4 linked regions of the Pelodiscus sinensis genome follow. The protein of the gene in region 1 purifies or fractionates together with the protein of each later gene. This does not show direct contact. Links are inferred from orthologs where the notes say so. Each region holds a gene or a part of one and is shown on either strand. Other genes may lie near its edges. The genes, in order: EZH2, ARID1A, SMARCA1 and FAM120A.

What was found.
Region 2: the proteins of EZH2 (region 1) and ARID1A purify together in Homo sapiens (affinity purification with mass spectrometry; 3 studies listed by BioGRID, with this or other methods). This does not show direct contact. The link is inferred for Pelodiscus sinensis from reciprocal best matches to the Homo sapiens genes EZH2 and ARID1A.
Region 3: the proteins of EZH2 (region 1) and SMARCA1 purify together in Homo sapiens (affinity purification with mass spectrometry, with the first as the bait; 3 studies listed by BioGRID). This does not show direct contact. The link is inferred for Pelodiscus sinensis from reciprocal best matches to the Homo sapiens genes EZH2 and SMARCA1.
Region 4: the proteins of EZH2 (region 1) and FAM120A purify together in Homo sapiens (affinity purification with mass spectrometry, with the first as the bait; 3 studies listed by BioGRID). This does not show direct contact. The link is inferred for Pelodiscus sinensis from reciprocal best matches to the Homo sapiens genes EZH2 and FAM120A.

Annotation. Positions count from the first base shown.
Region 1 is NC_134712.1:160,850,119-160,857,185, reverse strand, and holds the start of EZH2 (histone-lysine N-methyltransferase EZH2), read right to left. Parts: upstream 3,008-7,067; 5' UTR 2,471-3,007; intron 863-2,470; 5' UTR 835-862; coding exon 797-834; intron 1-796. UniProt on the Homo sapiens protein: Polycomb group (PcG) protein. Catalytic subunit of the PRC2/EED-EZH2 complex, which methylates 'Lys-9' (H3K9me) and 'Lys-27' (H3K27me) of histone H3, leading to transcriptional repression of the affected target gene.
Region 2 is NC_134735.1:2,199,087-2,206,263, reverse strand, and holds the start of ARID1A (AT-rich interactive domain-containing protein 1A), read right to left. Parts: upstream 3,013-7,177; 5' UTR 2,418-3,012; coding exon 1,272-2,417; intron 1-1,271. UniProt on the Homo sapiens protein: Involved in transcriptional activation and repression of select genes by chromatin remodeling (alteration of DNA-nucleosome topology).
Region 3 is NC_134723.1:29,595,731-29,602,606, forward strand, and holds the start of SMARCA1 (SWI/SNF-related matrix-associated actin-dependent regulator of chromatin subfamily A member 1), read left to right. Parts: upstream 1-3,874; 5' UTR 3,875-3,953; coding exon 3,954-4,034; intron 4,035-6,876.
Region 4 is NC_134721.1:50,965,586-50,973,256, reverse strand, and holds the start of FAM120A (constitutive coactivator of PPAR-gamma-like protein 1), read left to right. Parts: upstream 1-4,649; 5' UTR 4,650-5,043; coding exon 5,044-5,517; intron 5,518-7,671. UniProt on the Homo sapiens protein: Component of the oxidative stress-induced survival signaling. May regulate the activation of SRC family protein kinases. May act as a scaffolding protein enabling SRC family protein kinases to phosphorylate and activate PI3-kinase.

The sequences.
Region 1 (7,067 bases):
CAGTAAGGGCCTTTAAATCCCATATATATGCTGATTATATGTAATGATTACTATATTTCAGTCCTCTGTTTCTTATTGAAGAGAACTATTTTCTATTGTCAACATTGCTAACTAAATTCCACTTGAAGTCTTCAGTAGTTCCAATGAGAAGCAGAAAAGAAAACAACTTAACCTTCAAATTCCCAGCTTCAATTTACAGGACTAAGTTAAAGATATATATAAAAATAACAGCTCATTTGATTTGCCTGTCAGTGACAAAGAGTTCCACAAAGTCACTTTTTGAAGCAGTTATCTTTTAATATCCCTGTGACAAACCCAAATCCTGCAGATTGCGGTCAACCTAAACTAGTGACTATTGAATATGGCATAGTTTTAAGACAAAATAATTGTTGACACCTCATGGGAAGCTTTAAAAAAATGTTTATGTAGACACTTCCACCACTGCCTTTCAATAACTAGGTACATTTTCATGAAAACAAGAGGTGTCTCCTAAGAATTTGTCTCATCGTTTAAAGATAACCCTTTATTTAATGTCTCAAACATCTTCAAAACAGCTAAGCAACAGAGGATTGTCTCTTTAGGTGAGTGAATAAAAAGTACATAGAATTAAAAAGTTAACATATTCTCTAATATCCTATTCACATGCAAGATTCCACACTAAAATAATAAAGAAAACAAAACCAAATAAGAGTGCTATATTGCAGGATTGCTCATGAGGTATCAACAGGTCTTGAATATTCACATTTTAAGAGACCAAATTGAAAGTACTTACAGTACAGTGCTTACAAGTACTCACCCTTCACAACATGCTTTCTGGTTACCACAAATAAACATTCCAGGGGCTCCCAATTTGATATGGACACTTAGAATAAACAGAAAGAGTGGCCTTTTAATTAACTCTTACAAATTGCATTCAGACTCTAGAGCATTACTCTCTAAAACTAGATAACGAAATCCCAGGTTAGAAATTCAATAGAATCCCCAATACATACTTCTGATCCCTTTACATTTGTATCCTGGTGTAAACCTATACAACTCCATTCAGTGGAATAGCACAAAAGGTGAATTTTGCAAACACAAATCTAAAAATGAAGTCTTTCAAGGTCTTCATTTCTGAGAGGGAAAAGAAAAGAAATCTGAACTCCCAACTTTCTAATGCTGTATGGTTTCCACTCCAGAACAATGTGGATAGTATTTCAGAACTAGAAAAGAAGCTACTTGAACAAAATCCAAATTAATTTACATAAACACACCTACAAGCTTCTTTTCTTCTTCTCACTCCCAATAACTTCTGAATCACCTGCAGGCAACTATTAAACATTGAACACTACAATAATACCAGATTACACATCAGTCTTACTGCATCATATTTACCAGCCACTCGTTGACTCTTACAGTGTGAATAAATAGGCAGCTTCCTCCAACACCACCCCCTTACACCTACCAAAAATGACTCAATAAAAAACATATTTTTTGAAGTGTGCTCATGTTCAATACACTTTGTTCTAGAATCACAGTCTTCAGCCTATCTGAACTTGGGAAAAGCCAGGCAATGCTGTGGAAGACAGGGACCCAGTACTGAACTTTAGAAATTCGGAAGTTCACTCGAGTTGCTTTCAGGTACGTTTGTCAGTAACACGCCCCCACTGCCTTTGCATTTAACACCTTTGCTGCTACACCCAAGATTTGCGTATACATAGAGAAGGGGAATGTAAGGGGAGACTCAAAACAGCAACTCGTATGAAACAGCAAAAGGAGGAACAACCCAGAGACAGCTCAACAGCCCCCGCACGGAACATCAGCTTCCGGGAGACTATGTAAGAACACATGAGACTGAAGCAGACCTGCCCAAGTGCCTAAACGTCTCCCCGCAGCAAGGAGCCCCCCGCCCCGCGTGGGGAGCGTAATTTCAATTTTTCCCGCCTCCTTCTCGGGGAACGAAGGGTTTTGCTGCGCGTTTCAATCAGGCGTTTTAAAACCTCGTTTGCCTTGTAACCGGGGGAAGGGAGGGAGGGGGGGAGGGGGTTCCCCACAGTCAAACTGCTCCTGCACCCGCCACTAGTCTGAAGTCAATCAATGGGGAGTGAGGGGACTGGGTTTAAGGAAGAGACAAGCTGCGCTCCTCCTCGCGCCCGCCCTCGTTAGGGGTCCCAAGCCCTCGGCTCTAGTCCCGTCTTTGTCTCAGTCGGGTCGGTCCAGGGGAGGGGATCCCCTCCGCCGGGGTGGGCAGAGCCAACTTAGACAAAGGGCGCTTCACGCTCCGTGTCTCTCTCCAGCTGTCACCGGCCGGCAGCGCGCGCCCCGCCACCGCCCGCTCCCCCGCGCGCCCCACCGCCCTCTCCCGCTGGGGGGGGGGAGTTTCCTCGCGGCTGCCCCCCCCCATTCAATCCCCCAATAATCCCCCCGCCACCTCCCCCCGGACAAAGGGCGCAGGTTAGAAATAGCCGTTCCCGCGCGCTCGCTCGCTCACCCCCGCTCCCCAACGCCCGCCGGTGCTGCTGCCGCTGCCGCCGCCGCCTCCGGGTCCCCGCTTCGCTCTGCCGCCGGATTCACCCTCCCGGACCGAGCGCCAAACCCGGCGGCCCAATCGGCATCACGCTCATTGGAGAGAACCAAGCACCGCCCCGATTGGACGGACGTGGAGGGGCCGCCTGAGCCAATCCGCCTCGGCCAGAGGCGGTGCCGGGGGCGGAGCGTTCGCGCCCCACGTGTGGGGGGGAGGAAAGAAGAAGGGGGTGGAAGGGCGCTCTTTGTTCTCGCGCTGGCTGGGGACCTGGCGAGTTCCGTGCTCCCCTCGCGCGCCCCTCAGCCCCCCCCCCCCCTGGGGCGCCCGTAGCGGCGCGCGCGGGCAATGGGGGGAGCCTTGAAGTCCCCGTCGGCTGCGGGCGGCGAAGTCTTTGGGGGTTGGTGGAAGAGGAAGCGCCCGCGGAGCCCGGGAAGGGAGGGGCCAGGCTGTTGGGCGCTGCTGAGTTTGAATCAGTTCGAAAGTGGGAGCGGTAACGGTTTTAACTGTCATGCGGCTCCAGCGCGCGCGGGCAGCTCTGGGCGGAGACTAAGGTTCAGCCGGCTCCACTCAATATCCCTCCCCTTTGCCTGTTGCTTCCCGCGGGCGGGCGGGCTGGCAAGCGGTCCGGACCTTGACCCGCTCCGCCCTGCCTCGTTCCCAGCCCCGCCCCCAGCCTTAGCTTCGCCGAACGAGTTCCCAAACCGGCTCTGCTAAACCGGTTGTAGCGCCGCCCGGGACCTGCCACCTTCCCCACGCAGCTTGCGTCAGTAACTGCATCGCTGCCCTGACTCCCGGGGCACGGAAATTGCCAGGCGGATCAGAAACGTGCCCGGCGTGGAGGGGCCCTTCTCCCTCCCCACCATGCGTGCTCTGTGCTTCGCCTCCGCCATACAGAGAACTGCCCCCTCTCTGGCTTCAGGGTCCGTCCACATCCCTTTCCTCTGCTGCGGGCTAGGCGTGTGGAACCGCAGCCCTAACACAGCCCACCCACTCCTCTCGTACAACCACGGAAATCAGAGCACCAGCAAGATGTGCTCTGTCTCACCGGTCAATCGTGTCTTTTAGGTCTATCTCCTTCATGCTATTGCCGACCCATAGTCAAGTTGCTATTGTCCCTACCAGATTTTTAATCTGGCCGTCTGATTTAATTTGCCATCTCTATAGTCTCACATCTAGGCTGTGAGAATCTAGAGAGGGCAGGTTAAGGCTGATGACCAGATTATTGATCACCAGTTTATTGATGACCAAATTATTTAAATCTAGCTGATTTTTTTTTTCTGCATCATATCTGCAAGATAAGACCTTTAGTTTCAATCCATCCTGACATGCTCTTTGGAGAAGGGTCTGGTCCATGATTATCATAAACTCTATGATAATTTTAAAAAAGTCTAGGTTCCCATCAACTTCTGTCTCAATTACTGCAACATCTTGTCTCTGGCTTTGACAAATACAATCTTGCCCCATTACTGAGTGAAGATTATTTTCCTAAATAGGCACTTTGCCACTGCCAGCCCTGCCTTTTTTTGTGTCCCTCTACTATAATCCAGTGGTGGGCATATGTGTGGCCTATGGGGTAAGCCACTAGCAGGCTGCCAAAAAGGCTGGTTAACCTTGCACCCCCAGATATTACCATCCAGAGCTCTCATTGGCTACAGCTCCTCTTTTGTCATTGCAACAAACTTAAGCTTCTTGATTTCATTTTGTAGGCCTTTCATAACTAAGATGAACAGATGTCCCATTTTCAAAGAGACAGTCCTCTAAAAGCCCCCTTGAAGGTGTTCCTACTTTTTCTTTAAAATTGGCAAATTGTCCCATATTTTCAGTTTCTCCCCTCCCATCAGTACTAGTTGGTCTTACTGCTGATCAGATACTTGCTCGTCAGCTGCCCATCTGCCAACAATGAGTAGTTTTTTAAACTTTTTGAGCTGAGCCCCCCACCTCATTGAGTTATAAGTTTGGGCTCCCCCATTATTTGCAAAAAACAAACAAACCCTAGAATGTTCAGGTACCTCGTCATTTTCCTTTAAAGAAGGACATTAATAAACTGGACAAGGTTCAGAGGAGAGATGAGAATGATTAACGGATCAGAAAACATGACTTAAAATGATTGCTATCCTTGAATCTATCTGTGTAGTTTAACAAAGAGAAGAGTAAGGGGTGACTTGGTTACAATCTATAAATAGCTACACAGGGAACAACAAATATTTGATAATGGGCTATTCAAATGAGTAGAGAATGGTATAACATGATCCAAGGGCTGGACGTTAAAGCTAGACAAATTCATACTAGAAATTTTTAACAGTGAAGGTAATTAACCATTAGAACAATTTACCAAGGCTCTTGGTAGATTCTGTATCACTGGCAATTTTAAAACCAAGATTGAATGTTTCTCTAAAAGATGGTAAGTATGCTCCAGGAATTATTTTGGGAAAGTTCTATGGCCTGGACACCTGCGGCCTTGCAATCTGTGAAACTAGAAATCCTTTTTTAACACCCTCCTTTAAGATATAATAAATAGAATTAGGTAGTTGGTATGCTGATATCACAGCCAGTCATATTAACCAGCACTGTCTCATTGTTTTCTTGTGTTCCATTGTTTGTTTATCTCAGTGGTCACCAACTTGGAGATCGGGATCTACCTGTAGATCTTGGAGCCTCTGACATGTGACCCTGACTGGTTTGGCCAAGAGGCTATCAAGTGCTGGCACTTCAGCTGCTCCTCCCCTCACTGCTGCTCATCTCCTGCCCTTTGCCTTAGAGCTGCCTCTCCCCCTGGGGAGCCTCCTGCTTTCTGTGCAGAGAAGGGGTGCAGATGTCAAGCTACCCCCTGCCAATCTGTATCCTTTCTCCACAAAGCAGAGAGGGGGCACAACAGGACTTGGAATGCAGTTTGTTGGCTGCTTTAGGGAGTAGGCCAGGGCAAGGGTGAGCCTGCTTTAGCCCCACTGCACCATGAACCAGGAGCCACCTGAGGTAAGCAGTGCTCAGCTGGAGCCCACATCCCGAAACCCTATCCCAGTCATGAATCTCCTACACCCCAAGCTCCTGCCCCAGCCCCGAGCACTCCTGCATCCAAACATCCTCTGAGAGTGAGGTGTCATTTTCTAGGATAGGCTGTAGACTGTTGATGCTGTGTTGGAAGGGTTTAAGTTGAGGACTGTAGGTGATAAGTGGAATGCTGTTGTTTTCTCTTCTGGGCCTGTCTTGAAGTAGTTCATGTCTGGGTACTTTTTTGGCTCTGTTGATCTGTTTTTTTCACTTCACCAGTTGGGTATGTCAGTTTTAAGAATGCTGTATATAGATCCTCTAGGTGTTTGTCTCTGTCTGTGGGATTGGAGGGCTTGGCTGTATACGGTTGTATCGGAGGGCTTGGCTGTATACAATACATGGATGAGTAGAGGCATGAAGGTAAGTGTAGCGGTCAGTAGGTTTCCGATATAGGGTGGTGGAAATTTGTCCATCATTTAATAGTACTGTTGTGTCAAGGAACTGCATTTCTTGTGTGGACTGATCCAGGCTAAGGTTGATAGTGGGATGGAAGCTGTTGAAATCTCTGTGAAATTCTTCAAGGGTTTCTTTCCCATGGGTCCATATGATGAAGATGTTATCAATGTAGCATAAGTAGAGTAAGGGTCTTGGGGGGGCAAGAGCAAAGGAAATGTTCAAGGTCAGCCATAAAGACATTGGCATATTGTGGTGCCATCGGGTGCCCATGTTTGTACCTCTGACTTGAAGATACAAATTGTCTCCAAACTGGAAGTAGTTGTGGGTGAGGACAAAATTGCAGAGCTCTGTAACCAGGTGTGCAATGTTGCAATCAGGGAATATAGCCTATAATCCATCTTCATGTGGAATGTTGGTGTAAAGAGCTTCTATGTCCATGGTGGCCAGGATGGTATTTTCAGGTAGATGACTGATGTTTTGTAGTTTCCTCAGGAAGTCAGTGGTGTCTCAAAGATAGCTAGGAAGTGCTGGTAGCACAGGGTCTGTTGTAAGTGTACCAATGCTTAAGATGATGGGTCGTCTGGGATTTCCAGGCTTGTGTATCTTGGGTAGCAGATAGAAGACTCTTGGTCAGGGATTGGGGGGGTTGTTAGTATAAATTTGGTCATAAGGGAGTCTCATGAGCAGCTGTTTCAGGTTTTTTTGGAATTCTTTAGTGAGACACAGGAGAGAGGCTTGTAGAATTTGGTGCTGATGAGTTGTCTGGTCACCTCCTGTTCAGTTCATGATGACTACAGGGCCCCCTTTGTCAGCCTCTTTGATTATGATGTTAGAATTATTTTTGAGGTTGTGTATAGCATTGCTTTCTGCATGGCTGTGGTTATATGTTGTTTGCTGACAATGTCAGCTCAAGCACGTTTGCGAAAGCAGTCAGTGTAGAAATCAAGATTATCGTTGTGACCATTAGTAAGGGTCCACATAGAAGCCTTCCTCAATCCACTAAGAAACTTGTTACATGCAGACTCTTTCCCTAACAGTTGTTTTCTTATCTCAGGTAAAATGTGCAAGCCAGAATTGATCTTTACTCTGGCCTAGGACTACAGCAGGGCTACTCAAC
Region 2 (7,177 bases), on another chromosome or scaffold:
TCCTTAGAGCCATCAAAGAAATCCTTTATACCAATGGGAAAGTCACATAACCAAAACAAACAGCAAGCCCATTGTACAGAGAACCCCTGCTACTCTTCCGACAACACAGAATCTATTCCAGGCTGTATAAAACATTACAAGCAAAATAAATCCAAGGTACAAACAAAATGCCATCGCCTCTTCTTTTGTTTCATGCACAATGCAACAAGGGCAGCCTGTCTGGAACTCTGCTCCTGCTGATACAGTATTGCTACTGAACTTCCTCAAGGTCACAGCCAATTTCAGCTGTGGAATAAAAAGGCAGATAGTGGCAGTGATGGTTTGGGTTATGGCTGGCAGAAAAGCAGAGTGTAAAAGTTTATGAGCTCATCAGGATTGTTGTACCATTACATCAGAGGCAATTATAAATGGCCAAGAGCAGGAGATGAGGAGCCAATCAGATCACAGATAGGATGTCAACCTAAGACCAACTGTCTCCTGGCTTTGACAGAAGGATTTTACCTCCATAATTCAAATCCCAAACCAAAGCAATCTGCACTTACTACTCCAATCGCTGAACTGTTTACCAGCACTTCCAGGGAGAGGCCCAGCCACTGGGCTAGCCAAGAGACTGCTCAGGAAAATGGCCACAGCTTGCCTGGGCAAGCTACAACTGCCCAAAGCAGGCCACTTCCCACCTTCCTACCCCCAGGAAGTGAAAAGGCCCCTCACTAGGAGCAAGAAGAGGAGAAGGAGGAAGAGTGTAATGGGGGCAAATGTGTAAGTGCTGCTCTGCAGAGTTCCCACTACCTCTGTTCCTCGCACCCCATCCCCAGCCCAGCCCCGAGGAGCTCAGCTACCCACCTTCCCCTCATGCACACAAGCACCACAGCGCCAAGCCCTTCCTCCACCCCAGGGCTCCCTCTATCTCCCCTCAAGAGCCCCCAAGGCAGGCAGGGGAAGTAGGAAGCTGAAGGCACCTCTCTAGAAGCCTCACACAAAGGCTGGAAGGGGAGGAAGAGTAGGCAGAGAGGCAGCCATTTTAGAGAGAGAGACAGAGACAGACAATGGCAGCTCCCCAGCAATGTGGGTCCAAGTAGGGGAGGGAACAGTAAGAAATTCGGCCATCTCGTGACCCCCTCCATATCCCCACGTGCCCTCATCCCTGCCCTTGAGGAGGCCCCTCTTCTACCCTTGCCCCCATTGTCCTCAGCCACCCCACGTGCGCCCATCCCCTACTCCTAACCCCATTCCCTATCCCCACCCGCATCCCTCCCGTGCCAAGCTCTCACCTGCTGGGTCCTAGCGAGCGGCTGTCCCCCTCCAGCGCTGCTGCTCCCGGGGCTCATGGGCGCGTGGTGGCTCCTTTGTTGCCCCCCTCCTGTGGCCGTAGCCCAGGCCTGGCTGTTGCCCCCGCCGTACTGGGAGGCCATATCCGCGGCCGGGCCTTTGGAGGCGGCTCCTCCGTCCTGGGGCCCGCTGCTGTAGTCGCCCCCGGGGTAGCCCTGGTAGCCACGGGCTGAGCTGGGGGAAGTGAGCAGCTGGTTGAGGGTGGGAGTCGCTGTGGGCTGCGGGGTGGCGCCCCCTCCTCCTGCTGCCCCGCCGGCGGCCGAGGGCCCCATGGCCCCGAAGCGCTGCTGCTGGAAGGCGGCGGCGGCGGGGGATTTGGCCCCGGCGGCCGCTTGCGCGGGGCTCTGCGCGCTGCCCCGGGGGGAGCTCAGGGCGTAGGCCTGAGGGGGAGGCGGGTAGGCGCCGGCGCTGCGCCCGGCTGCCGCCGGGTAGTAGGAGTTGTACTGGTGGTTGGGGAAGCCGTGCTCAGCACCGCCGTGCGAGTTCTGGGGAGGGGGCGGCCCCGAGGGGGCCCCCGCCGGTCCCGGGTAGGGCTGCTCCAGGCCCCCGCTCTGCAGCGCTGCCATGCCAGGGCTTTGTTGTCCGCCATGTTGGTGGAAGGCAGCCGCGGCGGCGGCAGCGGCGGCAACAACCTGGGCTCCCCGGCCGTAGGGCTGCCCGAAGCTGTAGGCTGGCGGGGGCAAGGCGGCCGGGTGCGAAGGGGGAGGCTGCTGCGGCGGCGGCTGCTGCTGCGGCGCCCCCACCCCGTCGCTGCTGCCGCCGCCGCCGCCACCGGGCGGCTCCGGGAGGTTATTGTTCAGGGTGGCGGCGGCAGCGGCGGGCCTGGGGCCCGGATTCCCGTTCGAGCTCTTCAGGTCTGGCTCGGCCCCGGCGTCCCCTCCGTTGCTCTCGGCCCCGTCCTGCAGCTCCTTTCCCGGGGGGCCCTCGCTCTCCGCCTGCTTCTCTCCGCCGCCGCCGCGCTCCGCCGCCGCCTCGCCCCCCGCCTCCTCCGGGGGACAATCCCGCTGATGCGCCTCCGCTTTCTTCAGCTCGGCGGGAGCCGGGGCGCCCAGGCTGCTGGTGGTGGCGGGGGCGACCTGCGCAGCCATGATCCCCCCCTCCCCACCCCCCGGACTCCTGCCCCCGAGCTGCTCCCCTGCCTGGCCGGCCGGCGGGAGGCCTCACTGCTCTGCTGCTCCCCGCTCAGGCGGCGGCGGGCTCTTCAGGGCAGCGGGGGTTCATTCCCCCCGGCCTGGCTGGCGAGGCGGGGAGGGCTCCGCTGGGCTGGGCTCCCCGGGGCCTGGCCCCGCTGTGCCTCCTCGGTTGCAGCCGGCGGAGAAAGGGGAGGAGGGAGCGGGGAGGGGGGGGAGGAGGCGGGGGGACCCGGGACGGGGCTCCCGGCGTGGGAGAGGAGGGAGGGAAGGGGACTCGGCGGGCGAGCGGACTCCGTCCCTGGAGCCGGGCTGTGCGGTAGGGTGGCCGGACTAGGCAAGCCGAGTAGCAGCTCCCGACTCTGGTCCGCCGAGTCCTGCTCACTCCGACACGAGGCTCAGCACTGCCATTTTACCCAGCTTCGCGGCGGCCTGCCAAACCTGGAGCGGAGCCCGGCTCGGACTGGAGCCTCCCCCCTTCACAAAGGAGGAGCAGGCAGGCCTCGGACGCTTGCAACTCAGCAAACCTGAGGCCGCTGCCGCACACAAAACCCGCAGTGGATCCCGCGGAGCTGAATCCAACCTTCCGCCACAAAAGGAAGCTCCCTTACTGCGAAACACGGAGCGGATTTCAGCCTGAGCGAAGCGGACTGCCACAGAGTCCTCCTCCAGAAAACACGCACCAAAGCGCTCCCCACGCAGCTCTACTGCCCGGCGCCCAAAAAGATGACTTCAACGACCAGAGGCTAGTGTTCATCTGGGCTAAAGGAGAACAAACAGAACTGCATTAACCAAAGGGCTGGGAACTAGGACTCCTGAGTTCTGGACTAACTGCAGAAGTCAGGAAAGCTGGGTTTTCTCCCAAAACTGGGATATTATGCTGGCCACAGGACCAGGCATGGATCTGAGTGCCTGGAGTACAAGGACATGCAGGCTGGGTTAGTCCAGGGGCCCATTCCATCCAGCATCCTGTCTGCTAATACTAGATGCTTTAGCGGAATTTACAAAAACTCTAAATGGAAAATTATGAAATAAGCTGCCCTGAGGGAAGTGTCTTCCTTAGCCTCTCAGGGTATGGGCCACAAAGGTTTGGAAAAGGATTCTAGCTACCAGTCAGTATCATGCACTGCAAGTTTCATAGAAGGATATGGAACAGAGCCTATTACTTAGGATGTCTAATGTGATCCAATTTTAAGTGACTCTACTTTTGGGGGAAATTTTTACACTGCATTGTTTGCTACAGGCCTGTGAAGTTCAACCAGAAGAAAGACCCTTGGGCTAGATAAAAGCCTTTTCTTCGTCCCAGGATTTTCCATTGATTTAACTGTTCTAAACTGTTAAAAATTTCCATTTCCTGTCTGTTGCTTGTGTTCCTTTGGAAAATGTTGGCAGTATGCCAAAATACTAACTGAACATAAACATGCTGAAGTCAGGGGCTTACACTATTGCCAAAGCTGCAGGCACTGCCCTGGGAGCTGGGAGGGGACAGGGAAAGATAGAGCAAGCCACGCCCCTTCCCTCCTCCCCCATTACATACCCTTCAGACCAATCATATGTCCTACCTCATTTTCATCATTTTCTATGAGAGCATCACCCAAAGCAGGACTCTCCCACCTCAGGCTCCTCTCATAACTACACCAGATCCATACGGGGCAGAGCAGCATATGTTCCCTATTCCAGAGGACCACATGGGGCAAATATCTTTCTCCTGATAGTGAGACAAGAAAGAGAGCCAAGTCAGGCCATCCCTGTGGATACAGCATATTGCTCCAGCAGGCCATCAGCAGAGTTAGTCTTGTAACTAAAGTGATGCAAGTAAGGCCCCGCCCCCCTTACAAAAACCCAGGAGTCTTGCAAAAATATATTAAAAGAAAGTTAATTATACTGCAAAGTCAAGCAGTTGGAAGTTAGGAAATGTCACAGTTGGATTTGCTCATTCAACCTGAATTCTGCCCCCTTGCAATATATACATTGATATATTCCAATTATACAGTATGTTCACAATATTTTTTTCCACAGGATTCTTATCTTATTCAGATAACAGTTTGGATAAACATGGAGCTGCATTAAGGTTGCATGGATTATTGTAAATCTGATACTTCCTATCTTTCAAGCGCTTGACTTTACAACCTAAAAAACTTTTTGATAAAAGTTTTGTGTCTGTAATACATATATAATTATGTAAGTTTCTTCTTGGTAATCAGATTTTTAAAGAGTGCACAAGTTATACAATTTTGTTTCACAATCCTATCCATCAGCACCCTTTGTCTTTATATGATCTACTTTATAACCTGCCCCCATTGATGATTAACTGGAGTAGAACAGGCTTTTGTATTGGAAACCCCATCTCTTTGAAGCACCATGTACACCTACAACAAATGCAGAAATAGGTAACAGATCACTCCCCAACGCTGTTTCTCCCATATGTGAAATGAGATTACTACTAAATCTGTCCAACATCTCTGTGAGAAAAATGTTCACAAAATACTTGCAAGATCCTTTAATGTAAGGATCTCAACAATGAAAAATATCATTGCTAACAAGTCTCGCATTACATTAGTACCTGCAACACTATTTTTCAGTTTGGATCTTGATTCCATGCATTGGGCTTGGAGAGGGCATAAAGCAGTGGTTCCCAACCTTTTGGGGCTGCCAGGAGTCCGGGGACAGGGCCGCGCTCGTGCCACGTGCCTAAGGGCGGGGCTGTGCAGGCGCCACATGCCCAGGGTTGGGGCTGCGCATGCACCGCGCATCTGGGGGAGGGCTGCGCACGTACCGCATGTCCAGCACTGTGCGCCCGGGGCAGGGGCCACGCATGCATCGTGTGCCCGGAGCCCGGGCCGTAAGAATGGCTTGGGCTGGCTTTGGTCACTCAGTGGGCGCACATAAATGCCCCGGCAGACGCCATGCAGGCACCATGTTGCGGACCACTGGCATAAAGTATAGCAGGTGTACTTCATTGTCCTAACAGTGTAGTTAGTTATGAAGGACAGAGACAGCACTGAATTTTTTACCTCTCCTGTAACTTTTCTTTCATTATGTGAATGTTGCAGCTGCTATTTTCTGATATAATCAAGTTCTATAACCCAATCACCATTCTCACAGTACATTAGGAAGAAGGGTTTGGTTTTGGTTTTTGTTTTTTGTAAAAGGGAAGTTTTACAAGAGATATAGAACTGCTACACAGAAACACTACCATAAGAAAACATACTTCTAGGGGGAAGGTAAAGATACAGTCTTTCAATTCCAGAACATCATTTCAAACCAAAGGGCAGTAGTTCCCAGTAAAGATGATCAGCTGTTACATTCTTAAAGCATATATGAAATGGATTGGTGGTCTCACCCATTTCTTAACTATAGTCCACGTCACAAAAAGCATTATCACAGCATCTTTGATGGCAGTCAAAGAGGCCAAGCATAGGACAGTAAGTAGGGCAGCACCAGAAACACTAAATGGTCACTGTTAATACTGTGTATGCTTTACAATAAACAGAAAATGTCAGTGTCTGATGCAATCAATTAACCAATACATTTCAATACAAAAATTAGAATATAACAGGTGTTAAAAAACAGAAGTGACTTCAGAGTAGTAAGCTGGGGTTGAAGTTAGCACAAGTCAATGATTAGCTAAATTCAGAATGTATTCCACAGTAACAAATGGCATTACAGGCTCCAAAACCAAGGCCATGTTGCCATTTTACAGCAGAATGTATAACAGAGTAGATTCCACCTTAGCCAATTGGCCTAAAGAAAGAGGGGATTCTTTTCTTCTCCTCCTCTACTATTTTACTTAGGGTTGCAATGGAATAATACATAATAATAGCTACAGTATTTTTAATAGTATTAGTATTTATTTTGTAATAGCCACCCAAAAGCTGCTCTTAGGATTGGTGCCACAAAAACATATAGGAAGACACAATTCTTACTAAAAAATGTATAGTCTAGTCTAAAACAAAAATTATATGATAGTATAAAGCCAGAAAATGGATTGGAATCTCCTTCACAAGATGCACTTTACCAACTGCCACGCAATTCTAAAACAATTTCAGAGGGCTTCATTTGGGTTGGATTCCAAAAATCACCAATATTTTCTTTTTACCCATTTGTAAGTCTATCACAAAACTTTTCCTCTAGCAGAGGAGGGTTGGGCATGGCATGTCTTTATATGCTTGCCCTATGAGAACATCACTATTAAAGTGTATGAAAAAAATAAAGGAAATGAACAGAAACCAAGCTAGATTCTCACACAAAGGTGGCCCTGTGGCTTTACCAAGTTCTATGGTGGGCTGTAAAATCCAAAGAAGATTAAAGAGCAACAAAACGACAGGATACCCTTTTCAAGGATACTTCCCCCACTTTAAATTTTAACAAATTTTAAACCGCTGCACATCAAGCACAAATAAACTGGAACAAGCACTACCATTTTATCCTGAGTAGAAACCAAATTAGAGTGTGCCTCATGAAATTAAACTTTGCCATCTCATTGGACCCCTTTAGAAGCTATCAAATACAGTCCAGGAGCCTACATTTCAGTGTAAAGCAGTGATACTCAGACTGAGGCTTGTGAGCAGCAAGCGGCTCTTTAATGTGCCAAAGGGATGATACTTGGTCCTGCTGTGAGGGCAGGGGACTGAACTCGATGACTTCTCAAGGTCCCTTCCAGTTCTATGAGATGGTATATCTCCATATATAATTATAATTATATTATATTATATTAA
Region 3 (6,876 bases), on another chromosome or scaffold:
CTTTGAACAAAGACTGGAAGCTATACTTATAGGATAGGAATTTCTATTGTCAGAAGCAGTGACACTTAAAAAGACTTGGAGGGAAAGGGTTGATTATAGTGAATAATCAGTTAAACATGAATTCCTATGTGATTCTGTGGCCAAAAATGGAATCACAGAACTGGAGGGAACCTCAAGAGATCATCAAGTTCAGTCCCCTGTACTCATGGCAGAATCAAGTGCCATGTACACCGTCTCTCGCAGGCATTTGTCTAACCTGCTCTTAAAAATCTCCAATGATGGAGATTCCATAATCTCCCTAGGCAATTTATTCCAGTGCTTAACCACCCTGGCAGGAAGTTTTTCCTAATGTCCTATTTAAACTTCCCTCGCTGCAATTTAAGTCCACAGGCAACTTTAATTCTATCACGTCCTAAGATCTGTAGCCTAGGGGTGAAGAAAGATATAATTTATATGGATATGGCTTGCCCATCTGACTAGAAGGTTCCAGGTTTGTCTTTCTTTCCCAAGTCACAAAGGTTGAGGGCTATAAAGCTCTATTTCTGGAGGTAGATCTGGGGGGCCACAACAGCAGCCACGATTACAATGAGGATAGTACCAAATTAAAACAATTTTTATTGTGACTGGTATTAAGATGTCAAACAATACAAAGTACACAGCACTGATTGCAAAGATAAATTCAATCACCCTCGAGGGTAGCATTAACAAAGTTTGGTTATATAATTATACTTATAAGCATACAGAAATAGTTACCTAGTATAATGCCATACTCACATACCCTCTCCAACGCGTTGGAAGGGCCAGCCTCCCTCTGCTGCTGGGACTTGGAAAGTATGGAAAACTTAGAAGCAGAGAAACTTAGAAAAAATAAGTAAAGTGAAGTGAAGCGCTTTGATGTGAAGGAGAAAAATACTTGAAGCTTTTTCCTGTCTCCCAACTACTGCCATAGCATTTTATGGGCCTCTTTCCATCATTAATACCCAATCTCTTATGGCCATAAACAGATTTCCGCATCCTGAGATTTTGTGGGTACACATACTTGATTGGATGGTGATATTGGGACATCTTTTGAATACAGGCAGTCCCCGGGTTACGTACAAGATAGGGACTGTAGGTTTGTTCTTAAGTTGAATCTGTATGTAAGTCGGAACTGGCGTCCAGATTCAGCCGCTGCTGAAACTGATCCGTTTCAACAGCGGCTGAATCTGGACACCAGTTCTGACTTACATACAGATTCAACTTAAGAACCCCAGGCATCCCCAAGTCAGCTGCTGCTGAAACTGATCAGTGGCTGATTCCAGGAAGCCCGGGGCAGGAGCTTCCTGTAGTCAGCCACTGGTCAGTTTCAGCAGCGGCTGACTTGGGGACGCCTGGGGCAGAGCAGCTGGGGTGCTGCCGGGTTGGTCCAGTAGCGCCAAGGAGCGGTGTTGCGGGACCAACCGGCAGCGCCCCACCTGCTCTACCACAGGCCCGGGGCTTTGCTCCACGTCTCCCTGGTCTGCTGGGGGGGCCACTAGCTGCGCCCCCCCCCCCCCCAGTAGACCAGGGACACGGGGAGCAAAGCTGCAGTGGCGGCGCGGGACTCCGCCGCCGCTGCTGCTTTGCTCCCAGTGCCTCTGGTCTGCTGGGGACTGTCTCCAGCAGACCAGGGACACCGGGAGCAAAGCCGCAGCGGCGGCGGAGTCTCGCGCCTCTGAGCCTTTGCCAGAGCAAAGCCTCAGAGGCGCAGGACCCCTCCGCCTCCCCGGCTTTGCTCCCGGTGTCCCTGGTCTGCTGGAGACGGTCCCCAGCAGACCAGGGGCACCTGGAGCAGCTTTTCTCGCCCCGGAGGTCGAGGTGGCGGGACTGCTGCGCTCTGGGCGGTCCCGCTGCCTGCGAGCTCCGGGGCGAGAAAGCCCCGTTCGTAAGTGCGGATCCGACATAAGTCGGATCCGCGTAACTTGGGGACTGCCTGTATACATGAATATGATCACTCTATGTCCCTCTTGGACCCGTTCCCTGTGTTCTGACCCAGCTGAAAATTTCGCCAAAAAGCCCTTTACAATTTCTAAAGAGATATTAAGGATATTCAATTTAATTTCTAAAAAGATATTAACCAATTCTTACTACACCACACTACACTACTGCTAAAGCCAACTTCATACAGGATAAAATTCCTGCAAGTCTTGCATTACTAACAAAATATAATAAAAGGGATAATATAGATCTGCAGGCTACAAGTCTGAGTGCTTAACTATGCAACCTGAGCATTACTTTAGTTTAAGTTTTTTAATGTTATGTCCTAAAAATAAATAAATAAATAAATAAATACATAAATAAACACACACACACACACACACACACACACAGAAATTCCATTCTGTGGCACCAATACTCAGCTGAGGTTATCAACATAACTCACAACACAATCTCTACTACTTGAGTAAGCGGTGACAGTAATTGGCTAAGAATATGGATCAAGAACTAGAAGGTGATAAGTTTACCACTTTGCCAGTGGGCTTCATGGATACATGTTGATAGCAAATGAATATAGAGACTAAGGAGTCCATGGTTCTAATTCAAATTCTGTAGGCCCAGGAATATGCTCCAAAGGCTACATGCCCTTCTCTCTCTAGGTTGCTTCTGTCCTTTCCCAACAATCCCAAACCATCTTGTGTTCTTGTCTTCTTCCTGGCTCCTCTGTGTGCACACGGAAGTCTCCTTGTTCTCACTAAAACAAAAGGAAAAACTATGTAGCACTCATAGGCGTGTGCAGCACATTTCATTAGGGTGTGCACCAGGGAATTTTATTTTTTATTTTTTTTAAAGGAGAACATTAACTGAATACTCAGTCATAAAGGACATACTGCGGGCGAACAGGGGCTTTCTATACATTTCTACATTCGGAGCTTATTGCATAATACAACAATCTATACTTTAACACTAAAAGAGCATATCATGGGATTAAATTAAAACACTAAGCTACTTTTTTTGAGACACTAGGGTGTGCCTGGGCACAGCTATGGTAGCACTTTAAAGACTAATAAGATAGTTTAATAGGTGATGAGCTTTCATGGGCCAGACCCACTTCCTCAGCTCATATTCTGGAAGAGAATTGTCATGACCATATATACCAAAGGAACACAATGAAAAAAGTGAACATTATTAAACTGACAAATCAGATTTAGTACAGGAGGTGGGGTGAGGGAGAGGGAGGGAAGGAATAGCTATTTACGAGCCAATGAATGGCTACCCAGGGGTGATAAGTGGGGAAGCTCTTTTTGTAATGGTTAAGGTAATTGGAGTCTTTGTTAAGGCCCATTCGTAAAGTGCCCAATTTAAGCATGAAAGAAAGTTCTGCAGTTTCCCTCTGTGATGGGGTGTTCACGTCTCTTTGAAGCAAGATGCATGCAGCGAGGCTGAAATGAAACACTAGCCCCTGTCTAGCGTGGCGCGCTGAGGCTCACAGCGTGACCCACACTGCGGGGCACAGGGCAGGACCTGACACCCGCCAAAGCCCAGCTCCCGCGTGAACGTCTCAACGTAACGAGGCGGGCGGGGGGAGAAAACAGTTCTGTGCCCCGCCCCCTTCTCAGCAACGGCTCCTCCCGCCCTCAGCTTCTTGCCCTGGCCTCGGTTCTGTCCCGCTGGGTTTGTGACCTGGAGGGGGGAGGGGCAAACAGGTCCTTCCCCCACCCCTCGGCTTCTTGCTAGGTTTGTCCCTCGCGCCAACGCTCCCGCTCACCCAGCGGGGATGAGCAGGCGTCCCTGCGCGCGCGCGCGCTCAACTCTACAGCGCATGCGCGCGCACGGATGGCCGGGTTCCCGGGCTGTCCGCCGCTCTCGGCGGCGCCTGCCCCTGAAGTCTCGCGATCTTGGCTGTGAGCGGGAGAAGGGGGCGGGGCCGCCTGGTGTTCGGGGGGGCGGTGGAGGGGCGGGGGGTCTTCAGCCCCTGAGCCGGTTGTCGACACAAGATGGACCCCAGCCCCGCCCGCTCCGACGGCGAGGAGCCCTCCACCTCCGCTGCCTCCTCGCGGGAGCCCAGCGACGAGGAGGTACCGCCTGGGGGGCGGGCGCGCGCCAGAGTCTGGGGATGGGGGCGCCCGGCTCCTCTGCCAGCCCCGTCCCAGGACCCGGCCGGCCGCAGGTCCCTGCCCCCCCCCCCCCTGCGGCTACAGTCCCCAGGCCCCTCCGTCACCCTCCCAACTCTCAGACCTAGATCTGTGCGGAGACGTGGGTTAGTCTGCGCCCACCTGTACCGCCATCCTGGCTGTGCCCCGCTCTGCGTCCCTCGGCCCCATCCGCACTCCCCGTGCCCCTGGCCCAGCTACCACCTGACCGCGCTGGCCCAGCCTGTCCTGTCTTGCGGTGCCCTCAGCCCATCCATTTACACTCCCCCACTCCTCCCCATATTGCCAGCAGGCCCAGCAGCCCTATCCAGCCTCCATACCGTCAGCCCTGTGACCCAGCCTCTGCCCCCTTTGTGCCTTCAGTCCCATCCCTGCTCCACTCCCTACTGTCCATTCATATCTCCACCCTGTTTGCTTACCCTGCCAATCACGTCCCTGCCCTTGCACCCAACCCATCTGTTACCCCTCCACACAGTGTGCCAGCCCCTCTATATCCCCCTGTGCAGTGTGCATCTCTACAGCCTCTCCCTGTCTGTCAGCCCTCCCCATGGGTACCACCAGTCTCATTTTATAGCCTGGAAAAAGGACTTTGCTCACCTTACCTAGCTGGGAACAGGTTACCTATATGCAGAGCCATTTAGTGAAGCCTTTGTAAACAGTTACTTTCTGGATGAGATGGAGGAAGGAATGTGGGGAAGTTTGAGCTATTGGGATACACTTTTGAAGATGAGTGGGAAGGGTATGATACTTCAGTCCGTCCCCCCATTGACCGACCGTTCAATGTAGCTGACTCAAAGGAGTAGGGAGTGGCTTGCCAGTGGCTGTTGGCTGGTTCTTGGCTCTCAGGTTCTTCTGTTATTCCTTTCACTCAAAGCTACTTTCTTCTGCACATGCAGTTTAAATTGCTTTCATAATCCACATCAAGCAGCTCCAAAGAGCATGTGTGACTCTTACCTCTTCCCTTCAGTTTTCTGCAGAGATAGCAAGCCAGGACTCTGAGTGCACATCTACATAGTCGGACTCTGCTACAGTTCAAAAGTGGAAGCCCCACAGGGAGCGCGGGGCTCTTGTACATTTCAAAAGCAGAATCACAGCAGAACTGGTGTGAGCAGAGACTGCTTCAGTCCCCACTTGCGCTGTATCCCGCTGTGCCTCTACCTCCCCTGCCCCCCACAGAGACAGTGCTGGGGGGAACTGGCTTTTAAGCTGGCTCTCTCCCAGCACCAGGTCTTGCTTCTCCCTGTGCTGCCTCTCTCTGATAGAGGCAGCAAAGTGGGGGACAGGACTAGTTGATTAGTTGCTTACAACCCTAGTAGAGAGAAGTAAAAAAACATGTCGTAGTAGTAATTAGTTGGCTGTGAACTGTGTAGTATGTATCTGGAACATTAAAACTAAGGAACAATAAGGCTACGTCTACACTGGCCCCTTTTCCGGAAGGGGCATGTAAATTTCACTAGTCGTCGTAGGGAAATCCGCGGGGGATTTAAATATCCCCCGCGGCATTTAAATAAAAATGTCCGCCGCTTTTTTCCGGCTTTTAAAAAAGCCGGAAAAGAGCGTCTAGACTGGCCCCGATCCTCCGGAAAAAGTGCCCTTTTCCGGAGGGTCTTATTCACTACGACGACTAGTGAAATTTACATGCCCCTTCCGGAAAAGGGGCCAGTGTAGACGTAGCCTAAAGGTGTTAGAAGTGTGAGCAAGGATTACCTACACTACAGGGTACAATTTGTGCTATGAAGTTTTCCATCTGTCAACTGGCAAAAAAATCCCTGACACAATGTTTAGATGGAATAGTAGAAGTTGATATATGCTACTGAGAGATTAAATATTGTATTAGTCTTGATTATGTGTAAGAAGGTCACATGTTTCTAACAAAACAAAGCTTGTTGCTGCTGTATAGCACTAGTTCATTTGGAATCATGAATAGCTGAGAAATGCAAAGCTACACCTCCTATAGATTTGACTTCAGCAAAGTGCCCCCAGAGCTGGATTGCAATTCAGATGCATAAGCAACATGTTAGTGTCTGGAAGTCTTAGGTAATGACAGACTGGGTTAGTATACTTTGTCATTATGCTGGTTATACTTTGTGTCACGTTAATGCGTTGTTGTAAATAGCAATTTCAATGCTTTTATTAACTTCATCTAATTTTCAATAGTCACCTGGAATAGATTTTTTTTTCTTATATATAAACTCTACCACATGGCAACTAGGTGGATAGTTTTTACATATGTACCTGCAAACATTCAGCATAGGAAAGGCAAAATAAAAAAACAACAAAAGCAGCAGTATTTCTTATACCTCCCCATGACTTGGTTAGGCATTTGGCTTAGTTTAGAATGTACTGTTGCACTTTCCCACTAGCCTAGAATGCTTTCCCATAGCCTAAAGCTAGCATCTTTGTTAATTAGATCCCTGGGGTTACGCAAGTTGCACTGTTAAAGTTGTGACATATTTGGAGACTCCTCCATGATACGGAATACTTAACTACACAGACTTTGAATATATTCTCTAAGGTAGTGGTACTCTACCTATTTATCATTGTGGGCTGCATATGCAGTTCTTTGTTATCTGGGCTACATCCACACAATAAATATGCTATCTGAATGGCCCTGAGGATGACTTATGTGGCAGGTTGAGAACCACTGCTCTATTGACTAGGAATGAATGAGTTTAATTGGTTAACCCATAAGCTAATGCTTATTGGTTACTGGCACTGGTTATTCTTTTCTAAGGGCTTCTGGGAGCTGAGACACCCCAGGCGCAAG
Region 4 (7,671 bases), on another chromosome or scaffold:
ATATAACAGAATAATGAAAAATGGGAAACAAAAGAATCTATTCACAGAACTCTTATCCCATTTGATGGGGTACTGATGTAGACAGGAAGGCTTGGCAGATTTTCCTTGAGAAGGGACAAAATGTTTGGGGCAATTTAAAGAGACAGTTACAGAGGCCTGAAGAAAGTACAAAGAGCAGCAGGCCTAATCCCCGCACTCAGGAGAGAAATGGGGAAGAAAAGTTAAAGGTAGCCAGATAAAGCATGTGAGCTATGCCCCCTTCCTCACCCATACTACAGACACTCTGCACAAACTACACATTCACCCTCTTCTTCAAGAGTGTCTTTAACAAAGAAATCAATGATAACATTTATATCAAACCTTCAGCCCTGAATTGGCTGCTCATAGAGACCTCCCTCACCACAGTTCAATTCATTCCTTCCAGAAAACCACTCCCAATCCTCTTGATATTCAGCTTGAATAATGAGTCACTGACGTTAATGAGTCACTTTTAACCTTTACCCAGCCAGACCCATCCTGTTAATGGGGTAACATTGCCAGTCTGTACAAACCAGTTATGAAATAACTGTCTATAATGAGATTTCTTGCATCTTCCTTTGAAGCATCTTGACCCACTGATCTGATCTTGTATGGCCATTCCTCTTTCTGCCTCAACCTAATTGCTTAAATTGTAGGCCAGGGAACGTGGCCCCACTTTATCCTTGGTGGTGAAGACAGGGGCAAAGAAATCATTTAGCTTCAATGACTTCTCCTTAATTGCTGCCTTAACTCTCTTGCACTCCAGGTTTCCCAGCCCTGGTCTACTCTAGGGAGTTATTTCAAAATAACAAGCCGAAAGTCCACACTACCAATCCCATTATTTGAAATAAGGGGCTGGTTATTTTGAAATAATAATTCATGCTTTCCTTGAGAAATAAGCTTATTTCAAAATAGTTATTTGGGGAATTATATCTAATTTTGTTATTTCAAAATAATTTCCTAATGTAAACATGCCCCCGCTGATTATCTCATAGGCTGTTTCTGAAATATTGTATTTGTTTTTGTATTTTTGGCTATTTGCTCTCATATAAATTTCAGTCTTCCTAATTGCCATCTTAATTGTGCCCACCATAATTTATGCTGCTGTTCTATTGGCTTCACTTGACCCAGATTTCCAATTTCTGCACAAATATCTGTTTGGCCTGAATAATGCCCTCACATCAGGCTCAGTCCTGTTCTCTCATTCAAAATCCACCTGAAACCATTGGTGGACCTTGTGAGAGAAATAGCTTGAATCTCCAGCAATGTGCAAATAGCAGCTTGCTCTACATAGGCTATATTGCACATTTAAAGACCACCATTTCCAAATCAGCACCCAGATCTCCTGAAATCCCCTCCTTTTCAGTTCTCAGTTTCACATTATTCTTACTCCTACTCAACTTCCTAACTTCATTCTGGGAGAGCTGCTTTTAAACAGTTTCTCTTTTTTTTTAGAATACACAGTGAATTCATTTTGGTTCATGGTTTTTGTGTATTTATTTTTTAAAATGGTATGTTGGGGCAAAACCAAATGGCTATAAAATGGCCCTCAACATATTTAGGCTAGAAATCAGATGAAGGTTTTACACCATCAGAGGAATGAAGTTCTGGAACAGCCTTCCAAGGAGAGTACCAAGAGCAAAAAAACCCCTTATATTTCAAGACAGAGGTTGGTAAGTTTTTGGAGGGGATGGTATGATGAGCTTGCCTACAATGGCATATGGCCCATCTGCATCTGCTCTTAGCAAATATCTTCATTGCCAGGAGATGGGGCTCTAGATGGGGAAGTCTCTGAGTTACTACAGGGAATTATTTCCCAAGTATGGATGATGGATCTCAGTGTCTAATTGATCATATATCGGGACAGGAAGGAATTTTCTCCTAGTCAGATTGACTTTGCTTCTTCTCCTTCTTCTGCAGTGTGGGTCATTTGGTGATTTGAGTGTATTGTAAATGGTGTATTCTCTGTAATGTGAAATCTTTAAAACAAGATTTGAGGACTTACAGTATCTCAGTCACATGTTATTGGCCTATCACAGGAGTGGATGTGTGAGGTTCCATGGCCTGCAATGTATAGGTCATCAGACTAGATTATTATGATTGCCCCCCTCCATGGTCTATGACATTGGCATTGAGATAGTTATGTAATGTTCAGCAGGGTTTCAGTGGTACAGCCATTAGTACTACAATAGGCTATTTTGAGTCAATCATCCTTAGTTACATATTAAGAAAGAATTACAGCTGATAGCATCCAGTGTGTCTTTTGGCTGTTTTGACCTCTCAGTACTGTTCTATACAAAGAAGATATAGAAATCTTACTCTGCTGGAGTTAAGCCACATATGGAATAGTTCTAAACTGTGGCAGGATTGAGCAGGATACAGCGTGGCAGATCCTCAGCCAGGAAATACATTGAAGTCAATGGAACTATGCAATTTACACCAGCTAAAGATCTGTCCCAGTGACTTCCTTCCTCCCCCTTTTGCAAATTGGTTGCGTTGAATCCTTAAATTGTTCAGAATATTGATGGAACACACCCACTTCTTCACCAGGCTTTAATTGGTTTCTGGCCTGAGATTGGATTGATTTGTAATCTTTCCATTAGAATGTGATCTAGATCAAACTCTGTGCTCCCCTTTGCAGGCTCTCTGACCATCTGTTTTTTTTAATGCTCTGCATCCCTGGCATTAATCATTCAAGCTCTGCTGAATCTTTAGATACTTAAAAAAACAATCCCACAAAAAATAAAAAACAAACCCTGAAATCCTCTCTCTCCTCTGTCAAATCCCCAATTAATTGCAATGTTTATTTATAATAATAATTTGTATTACAGTAACTATTTAAAGGTGTTTCTGCTGAAGCATCCTTAATGTTATAACAAAATTAGTGATTGTACTTTGGAAGGAGAATCCATTTAAGCCTTAGGATGAAAGCTAAATTAAGAAAAAGCTCTTACTAAATGCTCATGAACACCTTTGGAGAGTTATCTGAAAAGGTGCTGCATATTTTCCACACTGATTTAAAAAAACCCACTTTTTTCCAGGAAACATTTTTATTGAGGACTTTCACAAAGTTTTCTGTATACTTTATTCTACCATCTTCATAAGCTCCACTGGTCACTCTTAGATACAAAGGTCCTCCACGCAGTGTTAAATAAGCTTTGCTCAACCCCAAGAGTATTTATTTTAGATACTAATCTAGCCAAACAACTGAAATCTTATTAAAAATGAAACGTATCTTTACCAGTAAAATGCCAAACTTCATATAAGGCATCTGAATATTTGAGAGTTGCCAAGCATTGAGGAATACTGAGACACTATGTTGATATTTCAAAGATAATATATATGTTCTGCCAGGAAATAGCTAAGGCCAAATGTGGGATTCTTTACAAAATTTCACTAGCTGAAACCAGAGTGAACAAGTCATCCACCATAATACTTAAGGCATTTTAGAAGAGGATAACAGATCTTATTCTGGCAGTTCATATGCCACTGACTGCATGTTGCCATGTCTTTAAATTCATGTCCTGCTCAGTAGCCAGTTGTGCTTGACAAATTTGTGGCCTACATGAAGAGTTAATTTTAACATATGCTCCTGAACAAGCTTCCACATTTTGGAAGATTTTCTGGAAGTGTTAAATCTTTAGCTGTAGGTGAGGTGAGGTTCATTTCTCAATATTGAGTTTCTTTTTAAATAACTATTATTATATTTGTCTGGAGAGAGGAAACTTTAAATCATTCAAATTTGTGCCAGTTTTATATTGTTGGGTTTGGACATCACATAAGTGTGAGGGAACAGTGTGAAACAGTATGGCTTGATAGCATCTCAACAAATTTGTGTTTTGTAGGCGGAAACCTCCTAAGCCAGCGAAATCCAAGCAAGAGGGAAGGATGGTCCATCTTCTCAAAGTATTTTGAAGATTTGTTTTCCTTCCATTTGAGCTCTCAAGTTCAAAAAAAACTGAGCAGTTTTTATTTTACTTTAAATAAAGGTGAAAAAATAGCACTTCTAAAATATAGAATAACGTGCCTGTTATTTTATCAGATGCCACATCCCCCACTCTTAATGCTTGAGGTCTGTGCTTTCCAAACTGTGGGCCACAGACCTCTGGGAGTTTGCACACTAGGTTTAACATTTCCAAAGGGGGATGCAGGGATTTACAAATGAAAACCACTGCTACAGGGAGTGTGTAGATAGCTGTACTCTCTATTCCGGGTCTGGCACAAAGCCAAGCTAGGTTTCTATGCAGTGAAAGGCCAATTTGCAGTGGCCAGGTGAAGAGCAAGTCGTGCTCTCGCCATACCCCGGGCCTGAAATCCGAGCTCGGGGCCCCGCAGCGCGCGGAGACGCTCAGTGGGAGCCCACGCAGCTCGGGCCGAGCTCGCCGCTGCCATTGGCTGCTCCGCGTGCAGCTCGCTGCGCTTCCCGCGCGGCCCGTGTGCAGCGTGACGGGGCCGGCGCGGCGCTGTTCTGGGCGCGTGCACACGTGCCGGGCGCGCAGCTCTGGCTCCTCCGGCGCTGAAGCCGCGCGGCCTGACCTCCCTGCCGCGCGCCCGCCATTCCCGCGCCCCCCCCCCCACGTGTCCCGATTCGCCCCCGCCCCGCAGCGCAGCGCGCATGCCTGGGTTATGCAACAGCCCCGGCGCCCAGGCCCGCCGCCCGAGTGCCGCAGCCGGGTGCCGAGTCGGTGGCGGAGGCGCGCGCGCGGCCCGGCCCCCCGGTGCTGCCCTGAGCCAGCGTGTGCGCGGCGCGCCGGCCCGTGAGTGGCAGCGGGGGCCGCCGCCAAGTCCCGCCTGTTCCGCTCTCCCGGCGGCGGGCGGCTTCCTGCGCGCGGTGCCCCCCCCCGGCAGTAGGAGCCGCAGCGGAGCAGCCCGGAGCCGAGCCATGGCTCTGTGAGAGCAGCACATGGCGGCCGCAGCTGCCATGAGCCCCCAACCGACCCACACGACTCCCCCCTGAACGGCCGCCTCCGCAGCAGCGCCCCCGCCGCCCCCCCGCCTCCAGCCACAGCCCTCGCCCGGCCCGCCATGGGGGTGCAGGGGTTCCAGGACTACATCGAGAAGCACTGCCCCAGCGCCGTGGTGCCCGTGGAGCTGCAGAAGCTGGCCCGGGGCAGCCTCGTGGGCGGGGGCCGCCAGCGGCCCCCCCAGACCCCGCTGCGCCTCCTCATCGACGCCGACAACTGCTTGCACCGGCTCTACGGCGGCTTCTACACGGACTGGGTGAGCGGCGGCCAGTGGAACCACATGCTGGGGTACCTGGCGGCGCTGGCCAAGGCCTGCTTCAACGGCAACATCGAGCTCTTCGTGCTCTTCAACGGCGCCCTGGAGAAGGCCCGGCTGCACGAGTGGGTGAAGCGCCAGGGCAACGAGCGCCAGACGGCGCAGCAGATCGTCAGCCACGTTCAGAACAAGGGGACCCCGCCGCCCAAGGTCTGGTTCCTGCCGCCCGTCTGCATGGCGCACTGCATCCGCCTGGCCCTCATCCGCTTTCACATCAAGGTGAGCCGCGGGCCCAGGGCCTTCCCGCCTGCGGCCTCCGCCTGCCGCGCTCCTCGGCCCCCAGCGCCCCCGCGCCCCTCGGCCCCCATCGCCACCAGCGCCCCCGCCCGCGCGCCCCCCGGCCCCCAGCGCCCCCGCCCGCGCGCCCCCCGGCCCCCAGCGCCCACGCCCGCGCGCCCCCCGGCCCCCAGCGCCCCCGCGCCCCTCGACCCCCATCGCCACCAGCGCCCCCGCCCGCGCGCCCCCCGGCCCCCAGCGCCCCCGCTCGCCGCGCCCCTCGGCCCCCAGCGCCCCCGCTCGCCGCGCCCCTCGGCCCCCAGCGCCCCCGCTCGCCGCGCCCCTCGGCCCCCATCGCCACAAGTCAGCTCTTCCTATCCTCGCGTTTCTCACCCCCCCATTTTGACCCTGGCAGCGGCGCCCATTTCCAGGGAGGCGCCCGCTCCTGTTGCTGCGCTCCTGGGCCCCCATTTCCAGGGAGGCGCCCGCTCCTGTTGCTGCGCTCCTGGGGCCCCATCTCCACCAGGGCGCCAGCTCCTGTTGCTGCGCTCCTGGGCCCCCATTTCCAGGGGGGGCAGCTCCTGTTGCTGCGCTCCTGGGTCCCCATTTCCAGGGAGGCGCCCGCTCCTGTTGCTGCGCTCCTGGGCCCCCATCTCCACCAGGGCGCCAGCTCCTGTTGCTGCGCTCCTGGGGCCCCATTTCCAGGGAGGCGCCCGCTCCTGTTGCTGCGCTCCTGGGCCCCCATCTCCACCAGGGCGCCAGCTCCTGTTGCTGCGCTCCTGGGGCCCCATTTCCAGGGAGGCGCCAGCTCCTGTTGCTGCGCTCCTGGGGCCCCATTTCCAGGGGGGTCAGCTCCTGTTGCTGCGCTCCTGGGGCCCCATTTCCAGGGGGGTCAGCTCCTGTTGCTGCGCTCCTGGGGCCCCATTTCCAGGGGGGCCAGCTCCTGTTGCTGCGCTCCTGGGGCCCCCATCTCCACCAGGGCGCCAGCGCCCCCGCTTGCTGCGCTTCTGGAACCCCCCTTTTCCACCATGGCACCAGTGCCCCCTCCTGCCGCTTTTTCCAGTCCCGCTGGCCAATTCCGAGCGCTGCGGCCTGGAGAGGCGGCGGTGGCGCTGGGCAGGGTAGGGCTCTAAAATGGCAGCAGGATTGCCCTCCCGGTAATGTCCGTACCGACTTCAGAGAGGGGAGGGGGGAAGTATGAATTCCCATATCCGCAAAATGTCGTCAAAACCTGGCGGTGTCGGCTGCTCGGGCTGGGAGAGGAGGTTCGGCGAGCTCCATGGGAGCGGCCTTACTGCTGGCCAGCGGCAGCTGCACAAGTGGAGGAGGCCAAAGTTTATGCTGCTGCCGCTGCCTTCCCGCGGACCCCGAGGCTGGAGCAAAACGAAGTGTTGCTGCCTCCTGGGACTTGCAGGGTGCCCTAAGCAGGCAGAGGGGAGGGTGTAGTGCGTACCTTGGTGTCCTCAGTCTCCGCTGGGATTTTCTATTTATACATACCTGTCAGCCTGTGGAAGCAAAATAATGGTAGAGCCCCTCCCCAGTTGAACTGGCCAAATGGGCTTACAGGCAGGAAAATGACAATTTCAGCATGCCTTCAAAAAGGGGTATAAAAACCTTAATGGTTTCAAAAACAGGACTAGCTATGTTGCTTTCTCAGGTTTTCCTTTTACATGTTCTCCACTTCTTTCAGTGCATTTTATTTATCCTTCTCATCTTTATTTATTCACCGTTTATTGTCAGATTTTTCTATCCTTATTTCTCCTTTCTGTTGTAGTTTATACGCTTTCATTTGTATTTCTCTTCTCCACTCCTCTTTTCCCGCTTCCCTTCATGTCCCCTCAGAGTAGAAACCAGAGAGAGCCACATTTGAGGGGTGAGCAGGGCTGATGATAGTGTTATGTAGGGTCACAGTGAATATCCAGGTATCATCCTCCAAATGCTGATTGGCAGACAATCTTATTTTTATGTAAAGTTGAGTAGGGGTTTTTTTTTTTTTTTTTTTTTTTTTTTTTGCTTTAAAACTGTGTGTAGTGTTCTATACTAGATACTCTGCCTCCATGTTCTTTTGGGGGCCATTGTTCCATTCATTTATCTGACTTATAAAATGTCCCTTGCTGCCTGCAGTTCCCTCTTCTTAGAAACACACTTAGCTAATTT